3 linked regions of the Cricetulus griseus genome follow. The protein of the gene in region 1 interacts with the protein of each later gene in a pairwise test. Links are inferred from orthologs where the notes say so. Each region holds a gene or a part of one and is shown on either strand. Other genes may lie near its edges. The genes, in order: Vti1b, Trim59 and Ptpn5.

Region 1 (4,209 bases):
CATTTGATAAACGGGTTAGCACCATATTCTGGAATAAAATGGAAACAGGCTTTGAGATTAATGATTACCATACATGGCAAGACTGTCATTGCCACAAAAACTTCCTAAATTAGGACACACCGTGACAGTTATCCTTCAAGGGCCAAGAGAGAATACAGACTACACTTTGGGGAAATAAGTATCTCTTTTGCTTTGGTTGTTTTAACAGGTATATATATATCGATTTGAAGAGTAATGAAAATATGAAAAAAACACATTATTATGCCTACTCAGCTATTTTCTTCTAAGAACTCATAGTACCTTTAACAACCAAAAATGATTTTTACAATAATTTAACAAATATATATGTTGTTCATTTTATGTTTTGAGAAAGGGTCTCAACTGTGTAACCCCAGGCTGGCCTCAAAGTCAGAGAGACCCATTGCTGCCTCTGCCTCCTAAGTGTGCACTACCACACTCAGATACAGGCGTGCTGGGCACTATGCCTGGGAGTTTATTACACACACTACACAGAACAAAATATTATTTCATTTCTAGATCATTGGTTCTCAAACTTAAGCCAGCCCCAGAAATCCTTCTGAGAGCAGTTAAGACAGACTGCTTGTCACAACAGTTAGTGATTCTGTTTGCTGGGGTGGGGGTGGAGGTTGGGGTGGGGGGTAAGCATGTGTGTCTAACAAGTTCCCAGGTGGTGTTGATGGTGCTGATTTGTAGAGCACATTTCCAAACTCCTTTTCTAGTCACAGAAAGCCAAGCAATATACTGTATCATAAATATGTAAAGTGTTGAGTACATTAGGAAGTAAGTGTTCTGAATCTGGGTCTGTAATGGAGCACCCCTTTAATCCCAGAACTCAGGAGGCAGATGCAGATGTACTTATGAGTCCGAGGCCAGCCTGGTCTACAGAGAGAGTTCCAGGTCAGCCAGGGCTCCACAGAGAAACAAGAAAACCAAAACCAAACAAACAAAACAGAGCATCCTAAGAATAGCTAGCTACATAAAGAGCTAATATTTTAAATTAAACAAAAAAAAACAGTAAATTCCCAAATATGAATAATAGCTAGTAGCTCTTGCCAGATAGTATTTTTAAGGGATTTACATATATTAACTCATTCACTCCTCACAAAAAACCCCATGAAGTTAGATGCTATTTTATTTTGTAGAGGAAGCTAGTTTGGTTAAAAAACTTGCAAGGTCACATAGCTACTAAGCCAGTCTGAAGCCAGTCTGCCCCGCCCCCCCAATGTCTTACTATATAAAACCTAGTCTGCTAGGTAGATCAAGCTGGCCTTTAACTCACACAGATTCTCCTGCTTCTACATGCCAGGTGCTAGGATTAAAAGTGTTTGCCTCTGGGGCTGGGTGTTGGTGGAACACGCCTTTAATCCCAGCACTTGGGAGGCAGAGGCTGGCGGATCTCTGGGAGTTCAAGGCCAGCCTGGTCTACAAAGAGAGTTCCAGGACAGGCTCCAAAGCAATACAGAGAAACCCTGTCTCAAAAAACAAAAAACAAAACAAAACAAAAAACAAAAAAAAAGAAAAAGAAAAAAGAAAAAAAAAAGAAAGAAAGAAAAGAAAATTTGCCACTGGCAAATTCTTGGTTTTTACAATATCTACTTTATTAATGAATTCTTGATGATGGTTTTAATGGCAGAAAAATATTTTGTCAGGCTAGATACAGAATACACTCTACAGGTAGCCAGTCACATCTATAACTCAAACCAATCTGCTCCTCATATTTAAGTTCATCCACTCAACTGATCACGTGAGAAAACACGGAAACTCTTCAATCTTTCTTCCTATTCTTATCCACCAGTCTCATAAGTCTGCCTCGGAACCACCTGTTGGATTTAATGCTCACTCTCCAGAGTCCCATGCTTACCTAGTCAACTGTCATGGAAGCTCCTAACACAGCCTCATATCCATTCTCACATCCTCTATCCAGCTACCGCAGCCTTGCTTCTAAAATGAAATCCACATTACCCAACTGCTTATGATCCTTACGGATTTCCCCCAAGACATCCAACAGTATTATGTGACACATTCAAGTTCCTCTTCAATGTAACTGTTTGCCTTCCCTCACTTCCGGCCTCTGTCTCACCTATAAGCTAAACGCTATGGTTAGAATTAATTAAAATTTTTCATTGCCTATCAAACTACCAAACTCCTACATCCCCAACCTCCAATCTTACGATTTTTTTTAGAAGTCGTTTTAATGAAATACAGGACCGCAGATTTAAGAACCTCCTTTGCTCCTGGGAGAGGCAGATAACTAAGAATTGGGGTTGGGGGGAGTAGGACACTAGAGGATCCCTAAGAGACGACACCCTGGTGTCTGTCTATCTCATTGCAAGCCAAGTGGCTGCAGCAGACCCTGGGCTTCGCGGGCCGGACAGCAGCAGGGGGCGTGCCGGGGGAGCCAGGGGTCCGCATCTGGGAGGACAGCACCGGGCGGGTGGTGTTCGGGTCTGGTCCCGCCCCCGCCTCACCTGTCCCCGCGGTCCCCAGCAGCCGCTCGGGAACTCCTCGTAGGTCTTCAAGAAGGCCGCGGAAGATCTCGTGCAGCTTCTCGAAATGCTCGGAGGAGGCGGCGGAGGTGGCCATGGCGCAGGCTGCACGTGAGCGTCGGCCTCTGAGATTCCGGGCGCAGGGCCCACTCACCCTTCAGCGCTCAGCTGCCGGGTCCCGAAGCCATCACCGCGACCGCCGTACCCGGGCCAGCCGGAACCAGGTGCTTCCGGGGTCCTCCGAGCCGGACGCCCTCCCCTTGCTGTCGCCGCGCGGGCGCCGGGCGCCAAAGCCTGACGGAAAGCCGGGGGCGAGGACGACTCCCGGCTACTCCAGGGGCGCGGCGCCGCGCGGGGGACGATCGGCTGTCTCCGAGCTGGAGACTGCCAGCCGGGCTGGGGAGGTACCAAGGCGAAGGGCCCCAGGGGGCCCGCGGGACGGGCGCCTCGGCCGCCTCATCCGGGCACACCGGGCCTGCGGTGCATGCTGGGAATTGTAGTTAAGTGAGGGAGTTGGGCAGATGGGTCGCGGCTGTGCAGGGGCGTGGAAGGTCAGCCCTGTTGCGCAGAGACTGGGAGAGCATAGGAGCCTCCATCAACCTATCTGTCATCGCAGTTCGTTCAGCTCTCTGATTCGATTAAATGTTTACTCTTAACCCTTGATAGATAGGTGAGCAGAGTCCTGCCTGCCCTCTAATGGTAAAACACTGATATTGGGGGGGCTTAAGTGTCACATGCTTTCAGAAGAGGAAACTGGGCTTCTAGGGGCTTCGCCAGTGTAGTTCATTAGGCTGCCCTGGGTTCTCACAACAGGTTTAAGCATAGACATTATGCAAAGACCGAGTCATATGTTGAACAAAATAGATTTTGTCTCTGCCCTTGGGTAATTTATGATCTGGTGTGGAAGGCAAACCGGTCTTACCACATCTAATCTGCCGTTAAGTGAAATATGTCAACAATCATGAAGTCCTTTCTGTGTATGGTTTGCACAAAAAGCCTGCTCTTCAAAAGTTTGGGTGAGAGAGCTCAGTATTTAAACATGGAGATAGATAGATAGATAGATAGATAGATAGATAGATAGATAGATAGATTTAATCAAAGTCCCACATTCCATTTTCCAAGGTGTGTAGGGGAGCAGGTTCCTGGGGGAATGTTTTGGTGTTGGTTTTTTTTTTTTTTTTTTTTTGTCTTTGAAGCCCTGGGTTTTACTAGTTTGAACTCATTGACCATTGAACTCAATAAATAAAATGTAACATGCATTGTGCAGAGATGACAAAGTCTAGGGTTGTTAGTGGTGGTGCAAAGTCTTATATTTCTTTTTCTTACAAAGTTAAAAGATGGGCCAGGAGTGGTGTCACATGCTTTTAACCCCAGCACTTGGGAGGCAGAGGCTGATGGATCACTGAGTTCAAGGCCAGCCTGGTCTACAGAGTTCCAGGACAGCAGGGCTATACATAGAAATCCTGCCTCAAAAATTAAATTAAAATAATTATATTTAAGTGTGTGTATACATGTATGAGTGCAAGTGTACTGGCTGTGGAATCCAGAGAGGGTTTTGGAACACCTGGAGCTGGAGTTGCAGGTGGTTGTGAGCTGTCTGTCATGCATGTAAGAGTTGTATGATCCTAATAACGGTTCTGTCTCATCAGCTCCAAGCCTTATATTTCTCTGTCACAGAAATAAAGAGGTACAAATAAGGAGA
Region 2 (3,649 bases), on another chromosome or scaffold:
ATTTTTTTTTCTTCTGTTCTAATGCATCAGTAAGCTCCTTAAAGTACTGGAGAACAACCTCCTTATCACCTTGAAGCATTTTCTCAGAATGACATTTCTGTTCTTCAAGCTTTTCAATAAGACGAGTGATATCTGTCCAATGTGTGTCCGTTAACTGTTTAAACAACTTCTGAGGTGTATCTTTTTCTTTCAAATAGGCACTTTGAAGGTCATCTATAGGATGACCATGATGTTGGCCTATAGTAAGACAATGGCCACAAACTAATTTTTTATCTAGTAGACAATAAACATTTAATGGTTGCCTGTAATGTTCAGGGCAGGTGACAACATCTGGGTGGTCTTCTTGCTGGTACTTTTCAATAATTGCTCTTAATGCAAAATTTACAGGTAAGGATTCTATACCAGTTGAAGCAATTTCAATAATACTTCTGCAGTTAGGGCACTTGAGTGGAATTCGCAAAGGTCTCCATATATAAAAGTTACCAGATGCCTGAAGAACATTTTCCAAACAATTTCTACAAAATGTATGAGAGCATGGTAGTACTCGAGGATCTTCAAAAATACTGTAACAAATGGGACACGTTAACTCCTCCTCAAAATTGTGCATTTCCTGTCAAGACAAAAAAAAAAAAAATTTAAGCATATATCTGGCACATACTATGTTAAGATTTTAGGCATGATCTTCGAATTAAATACTGTATTTGCCATTTAAAAGAAAAGCAGAGATTTCTTTTTAGATGACGCTTTCTTAGTAAGTAAGTGGATCACCTTAAGAGTTTATTCCTTTCAACAAAATCTCAAATAATTTGTAATAAAATGCTTCAAATCAGTCAATCTGGTTTTATGTAATGAAGGCTACACTTCAGTTGAAGTCTACTTAATAATTACTATTATTATATGGAAGTCATTACTTTCTAAGATACCAAAGTAAAAAGTACACTGGTGGTACACACCTTTAATTCCAGCACTGGGGAAGCAGAAGCAAGTGGATCTCTGTGAGTTTGAGGCCAGCCTGGTCTATAGAGCAAGTGCCAGGACAGGCTCCAAAGCTACACAGAGAAACCCTGTCTCAAAAAACAAAAAACTTAAGGAATAAACAAAACTATACATTCCATTTAAAGTGAGGGGGAAAAAGTACCTGTTTGTGATCGTTTTGGTTTTTTGCTGAGATAAATGCTAGAGTTGCAGGTATGAGGCATCACCCCAGCTTCAATGATTCTTACATTTGAATTCTCTACAAATTATTACTATTAATGTAAGATCAGCATATAGCAATTCCTATTTCTTCCTCTCTTTTCCTTTTGCCTTTTTTTTGTGTGTATGTGTGTGATACTAATAATCAAACTGAAGGCCTCTACATGTTAGGCAAATACTTAACAATGAGTTATACAACCCGGGATCCAAACCTATACTGAGGTTTTCTAAAGCGGTAATTTTAACTTGAAGATTTGAAAGGGAAAAAAGTTAATTATAATTAGCATTAGCAATAAAAATGATTTGAAAAACAGGAGCTGATTGTGGTGATAAGTACTGATTGAAAAGTGAGAATCTAAAACAAATGGCAAAGAAAATAAAGGATACCACTCATCTATTTCCTTCACTTACAATGTTAGAGAGGCTCAAGAGATAGTTCTGTGGTTATGACTGCAAACTTGTTCTTCCAGAGGACCAGAATTCAGTTCCCAGGACACAAGGAAGCTCACAACCACATATAAAACTAGCTCCAGGGTATCCAACACTTTCCCAGTACCCGTACATACCTGCCTCACAACACTCATGCACACACTTGCCCTTTTTAAAAATGTAGCTCAAGAATATCCCTAAAGCAGAAAAATGAACCCATCAATTGTTCAGAGATTCACTGACAGATGATGGTCCTCCATCAGCTATTAATATTTCCAACAAAAGGTGGCAGTTCTGCAGCCTACCTCAAAACTGCCTATCCTTTGGCAGGCAAAACTCACTGTTTAAAAGAACCTTAAACAATCCTAGGTGTTCTTTATAAAGAATATAAAAGTTGCCAAAATGGCCGGGCGGTGGTGGTGCATGCCTTTAATCCCTGCCTTTAATCCCAGCACTCGGGAGGCAGAGGCAGGTGGATCTCTGTGAGTTCAAGATAGCCTGGCCTTCAAGAGCTAGTTCCAGAACAGCCTCCAAAGCCAGAGAAACCCTGTCTCAAAAAAAAAAAAAAAAAAAAAAAAAACTACCAAAACCTACATAAACTAGTTCCAGATTAAAAGTTCATAAAAAATGGGGCTACGGAAGTAATTTAGTAGAGTGTGGTATCTTGCATCTCCAGCGTCACCAAAAAGTTTGTAGCAATAGCAACTAAAAGTAACTAATTATTCTTTAAAGCCCCACCCAATCTGTTTCCTTAGCTCTAACCATCTGAGACTGCCATTACCCAGATTAAGTGTCTTCATGAATTTAATTAAAGAGACATTTTACTTCAAGCTCTGAACAAGACTTCATAAGAATGTAACATTTATATTATGTATCAGAATATAAGCCTCCTGTAAGGTCAGAAATAGTATCTAAACAATAGCAGTGTTAACAGTGATCTGGGCTTTCAAATAATAAAATCTCTTAGAAGCAATGAAGAGGCCATCAGAAAATATCTCATGTATTGTCTGACAATATTCAGGATCCAAAGGGAGTCAAGTTGTGGCATGTAGAAACTAAGTCTTGACCTGCACAGGATCCCAGGAAACAAATGACTGAACAACAGTACAGAAGGCGACAGTCATTGAAAAGAAACACAAGTGAATGCACATTTAGAAAAGGCCTTTACAACTTTATCCCACACCCACAGAGAGCTGTGAAGTCATACAAAAATTACCGAAGAAAAACAAATCTGTTTCTCAGAGTACTTCAATGACCTCAAAATGTACAATGAAGGAAAATACAGAATAGTTATTTGAAAGGAATAAAATTTAAGCAATGAACATACATTCAAGCCAGATTTAGTATTAGCTATTTGGTATGCAGGTAGCAAAACTTCAAGAAAATTAGATTTTAGGACTAGTTTGCTTACACATTAAATAGCTCTAGTATTATTAAATCTTCAAAGTTCTATTTCGTGTGTCTCACAGGAAGCTAGGGAGGGGTTTGGACATGGCTCAATGGAAAACCATTTACTAATGCAAGCTTGAGGACCTGAGTTTGAATCCCCAGAATCCATGGAAAGCTGGACACAGTACATATCAATAAACCAGGCATGCAGACAGCAAAACGGAGGCAGAGGTGGGAAAAAAAAAAAAAGTCTCCAAGAAGTTAGAAGGAGACCCCCCACACATGTCCTGGGAGGAGAAGGCAACATACATATTTGTACAAATATAAAACACTCAATTTTGGGGACAGGGGGAAGTGAGAATCTCTGAGAATCCATTTAATGACCCTATAGCTCAACTTTTAAGTTGTAAGAAGTTTCTTACTGATTTGCCAGACTGACAAAAGTATACTGGGAGGGGGGATAAAAAGAACTAAAATTTTTCTTATTAAAAAAAGCCAAAGCTAGGTGTGGTGGCACCTGCCTTTAATCGCAGCACTCATGATGCAGAATCAGGAAGTTTGAGGCCAGCCTGGTCTACAGAGTGAGTTCCAATACAGCCAGGGCTACAAAGAAGCCCTGTCTCAAAGAACTCCCCCA
Region 3 (3,649 bases), on another chromosome or scaffold:
TCTTGTGAGAATCAAAAGAAATAATAATTAAAAAAATCCCCACAATACACAATTGCAGAACTGACCATGGAGTTGGTGAGCAGACTTGTTTCTTCTCCCTGGCAAAATCTACAATATCTACTGAACAGGAAGGGACACAGAGGACTGTTTTCAAAGGGAGAGGATGATGGTGGGAGCTGAGAGCTGGAGCTGGGGTGATGGAGGAAGGATTTATGGGCTCACTGAGGTGGGAATGATGTGAGGAAGGTACTGGTCACTTGGCCTGCTGGTATTTGGGTGGAGCTCAAGGCTGGAGAAGAAAGCTGGTGCCCACCACTTTAGGTTTTTTGCAGGTGGAGACAAGCTCTGGAGATCTTGGAGCACTGAGCCAAAGAGGCACAGTGGATTAGCTACCTGGCTTGTGAGTTTGATGGGAAAGTGGGCTGTTGGGCTTCAGTTCCTCCTTTCCCCCATTGATGTTCTTTTATTAACTAGGGGTGCAGGCCTGGCAGTGGTAGCACACACCTAAACCCCAGCACCTGGGAGGCAGAGGCAGGCAGATTTCTATGAGTTTGAGGCCAGCCTGGTCTACAGGGCGAGTTCCAGGACAGCCAGGACTATACACAGAGAAACCTGTCTTGAGGTTGGGAAAGGATTTAGGGCCTGAGCTTGAAACCCAAGGGAGAAAAGGGGGGTGGGGACAGGAGCATGGGGACAAACATCTTTGATGTTATCAGGCAGAGGAGGGCGGGAAGATAGGAGAGGCTTTCTTTTCTCCTTGAGGGTTGACCAAGCTTTGTGTATGCTACTAGGCACATGTTCTACCCCTGAACTGCACCACCAGGAGGAGGTTGCTTTCTTCGGATTCCAGAGCACAGTCCTTCCATCAGATCCAGAAGTACTACTGTCTGCCTAGTATATGGTATCGTCACCCTTAACTCCTGCGAAGACCCTGCCATTTGTCTGAATTTCCAGATGAGGACATCAGGTCTCAGAGATTAAGAGCATTTCCAGGATGCTGGGAGAGACGACAAGGGGATACTAGTCTATTCCATGTATGGGTTTGTATACTCTGGGGTACTGACTGGCCGGGTGGTGGACTATTATGCATGCAAAGGTGGATGGTCACTTCAAGGGACTCACAAAGAATTCTGCCTGCAGCAAGAAGGGGTCCAGGGCCTTTTCATGCAGCTCCTCTGCTCGGAGGACACGGGAGGCACTGAGCAGGTACTCGTGGGCTGACTCCTCTCGTGGGGACACCAGGTAGCCGAAACCCTCCTCATTGCAGCCAGGGGTACACATGTCCAGGGTCAAGGAGACATTGGAGCCCCTCCTGCAAGGGTCATAGAAGAAGATACTAGCCTTAGACATGAAAGGAAGCAAGAAGATGGTCAGAGGAGAGCAGGGTGGGCTCCAGGAAGAGGGATGTGACAGGAACCTATCCTAAGGAGCACATGGTTCTGTCTACACCTCTGTCCACTCCTTCTTACAGTGGGGTGAGGGCCCCAGTTCCAAAAGCTCAACCCTTAAGCAATCCCTAATGGCCCTCCTCTGGACTCTGTTGTGGAAGGAGGCCCACTGGGGAGACATATGCTAAGGTGAGCCTCAAGCCCAAGAGCACAGCTTCAGACCCCAGAATCACAGTTCTAGAATGAGGTTGTCATGGCATCGAGTGCATCTCAGCTAGCAGAGGCCAGGGCCCTCTGCATCCAGGGAAGAAAGGAGCTCAAAGACAGCCATTCGCAGCAAGGATATCTATACTGGGCCAACTCCATCATGCTCAGTGCCTCAAACCTTCGGATAGGGGGGATCCTCGTTGTGTAGAAAGGGACACTGAGTTTCAGGAGGGCTCTAGCATTGTCCAGGATTTCACTATGATGAAGTGGCAGAGTCAAAAACTATTGTCTAGGTTTTCTGAGTCCTTATCCAGTACATTCTATGACATCTTCTGTGTACTCCAAACCGTGTGTAAGCTTGCTTACCCAGCCCTAAACTCAGATTGTCACTCCCTCCCAAAACTTGCTCATGGAATCCTATGGGGCACTCTAGGTTTTGGGAAATGGTACCTATTGTCCCTTTGTCAAGTCACAAGGAACACAGTTAAATTGAAGGCCCCAGCAAGCCCTATATAAGGAAACCAACTCTGACTTCCTCAAGCCAAGGAGAGTATGGGTGTGCACTCTTGGGCATTTATCTTGAAGTACCCTGGTCAATGTGCATTACTGGAAAAGCATGTGTCTACACACACTAAGTGATGAGGATAACCTTGTGCTCTAAACCAGGAGCTCCCTTCTAATGGGAGCTGAGAATTTGTGATCCCCAGCCCACCCCTCGTCTACCCCTCCCACCTCTCCTGCAGACCCATGGACTTGACAGTCAACGAGGTGGGATCAGTCTCAGGCTTGATGTCCATCACACAGTCAAACACAGGTGTCTCAGGCACCGCGTCCAGGTCCAGGAAGTCATCCTCTACCTTCTCCTCCATCCACTCCGAATAGGTGAAGGAGGGCTGGCGGCTCACTGATTGGCGCCTGTCCTCTGGGGGCAGTGGTACCGGTGGCTCTGGGGGTGCCTTGAGGAGGTGCCACACCTGGTTGGGAGCATACAGCCTGGGATCATGCTCGCTGCCTGCTGGATTCATGGAGGTACCCCTTGGGATTGAGCTGTCTGATGCTATAAGGTCTACAGCAACCACATTCTCCTGGGTCCTAGATGTCAGGTTCTATCCCCACTCTCCCTTCTCTGTCCCCAGTTTTTAGTGGGTTTAATCCCTCTGGGTAGGTACTAGAGGTTCTTTCTGCCTCAGCCCTTTCTTTCAGGCCTATCACTTCTAGAAAGGAGCCTCTTGCTTTAAGTAGGCATGCTGCTGAAGGCGACAAGGCTATCTTCACCCTATTCAGAACCCAGGTTAGCCTGCCTGGGGATCAGATGGATCTAATGGGAAATGGGGCTTTCTAGAGAGGGAACAACTGCCTGTGGCTGAAGACAAGGAGGCACTTTACCAGGGTGGTGATGATGACCAGGCCCACAGTTACAGAGACGAGCAGCAGACTTGGGATTCCCCAGATACCAGAACCCAGCCAGGCCTGGGGAACATCAGACAAACTGGTCAGTGTCCTGAGGGGTTGGGGGAGGACAATATTCTTATCTATTTCACAAGTAATAAGAAAACCCATCCTGGGTCTGGATGGGATGCACACAGATGGCCTTTGGGTTCTTGGAAACATCTCTTGAACTCAGAGATGCCCCAGCCAGGAGTAGTGAGGGAGGGATGGGAAGTCCCAGGTTATCCCACTCCACCCCCATTGTTCTAGGGGTCCCCAGAGTTTACTCACCACAGGTCCCAGATGGTTCAACAGTGTGAGCGAGGAGGAGATGAGGTCTGTGGTGTTCTGCAGCCAGGAGTGGCCATGGCCACTGAGCCAGAGCACCCCACAGGCGAGCTGGGGCAGTCAGGGGAGCAGACTGAGCGTATAGCTGCAGCCCGTTGCCCCTATATTGCCCTGCAAAGCTCACCTTCAGCCCCAACCTGGGTCCCAGGAAACTCGTGAGCCTCTCAGACTGGGCAGTAGAGGGAAGGGCCACCCAGCATTCTTTGGGAGAAAGACTAATCACAGGTGGCTGAGACAGAGCCCTTCCCACAGGAGACCCCACAGGCATACATAGAAGT

What was found.
Region 2: the proteins of Vti1b (region 1) and Trim59 interact in binary tests that used the Homo sapiens proteins (3 or more experiments, as listed by UniProt). The two-hybrid records come from large-scale screens. The link is inferred for Cricetulus griseus from reciprocal best matches to the Homo sapiens genes VTI1B and TRIM59.
Region 3: the proteins of Vti1b (region 1) and Ptpn5 interact in binary tests that used the Homo sapiens proteins (3 or more experiments, as listed by UniProt). The two-hybrid records come from large-scale screens. The link is inferred for Cricetulus griseus from reciprocal best matches to the Homo sapiens genes VTI1B and PTPN5.

What each region holds. Positions count from the first base shown.
Region 1 is NC_048598.1:124,459,722-124,463,930, reverse strand, and holds the start of Vti1b (vesicle transport through interaction with t-SNAREs homolog 1B), read right to left. Parts: upstream 2,917-4,209; 5' UTR 2,605-2,916; coding exon 2,490-2,604; intron 1-2,489. UniProt on the Homo sapiens protein: V-SNARE that mediates vesicle transport pathways through interactions with t-SNAREs on the target membrane. These interactions are proposed to mediate aspects of the specificity of vesicle trafficking and to promote fusion of the lipid bilayers.
Region 2 is NW_023276806.1:84,098,973-84,102,621, reverse strand, and holds part of Trim59 (tripartite motif-containing protein 59), read right to left. Parts: intron 611-3,649; 5' UTR 608-610; coding exon 1-607. UniProt on the Homo sapiens protein: E3 ubiquitin ligase involved in different processes such as development and immune response. Serves as a negative regulator for innate immune signaling pathways by suppressing RLR-induced activation of IRF3/7 and NF-kappa-B via interaction with adapter ECSIT.
Region 3 is NC_048596.1:145,242,862-145,246,510, forward strand, and holds part of Ptpn5 (tyrosine-protein phosphatase non-receptor type 5), read right to left. Parts: intron 3,423-3,649; coding exon 3,315-3,422; intron 3,066-3,314; coding exon 2,982-3,065; intron 2,570-2,981; coding exon 2,328-2,569; intron 1,313-2,327; coding exon 1,123-1,312; intron 1-1,122. UniProt on the Homo sapiens protein: May regulate the activity of several effector molecules involved in synaptic plasticity and neuronal cell survival, including MAPKs, Src family kinases and NMDA receptors.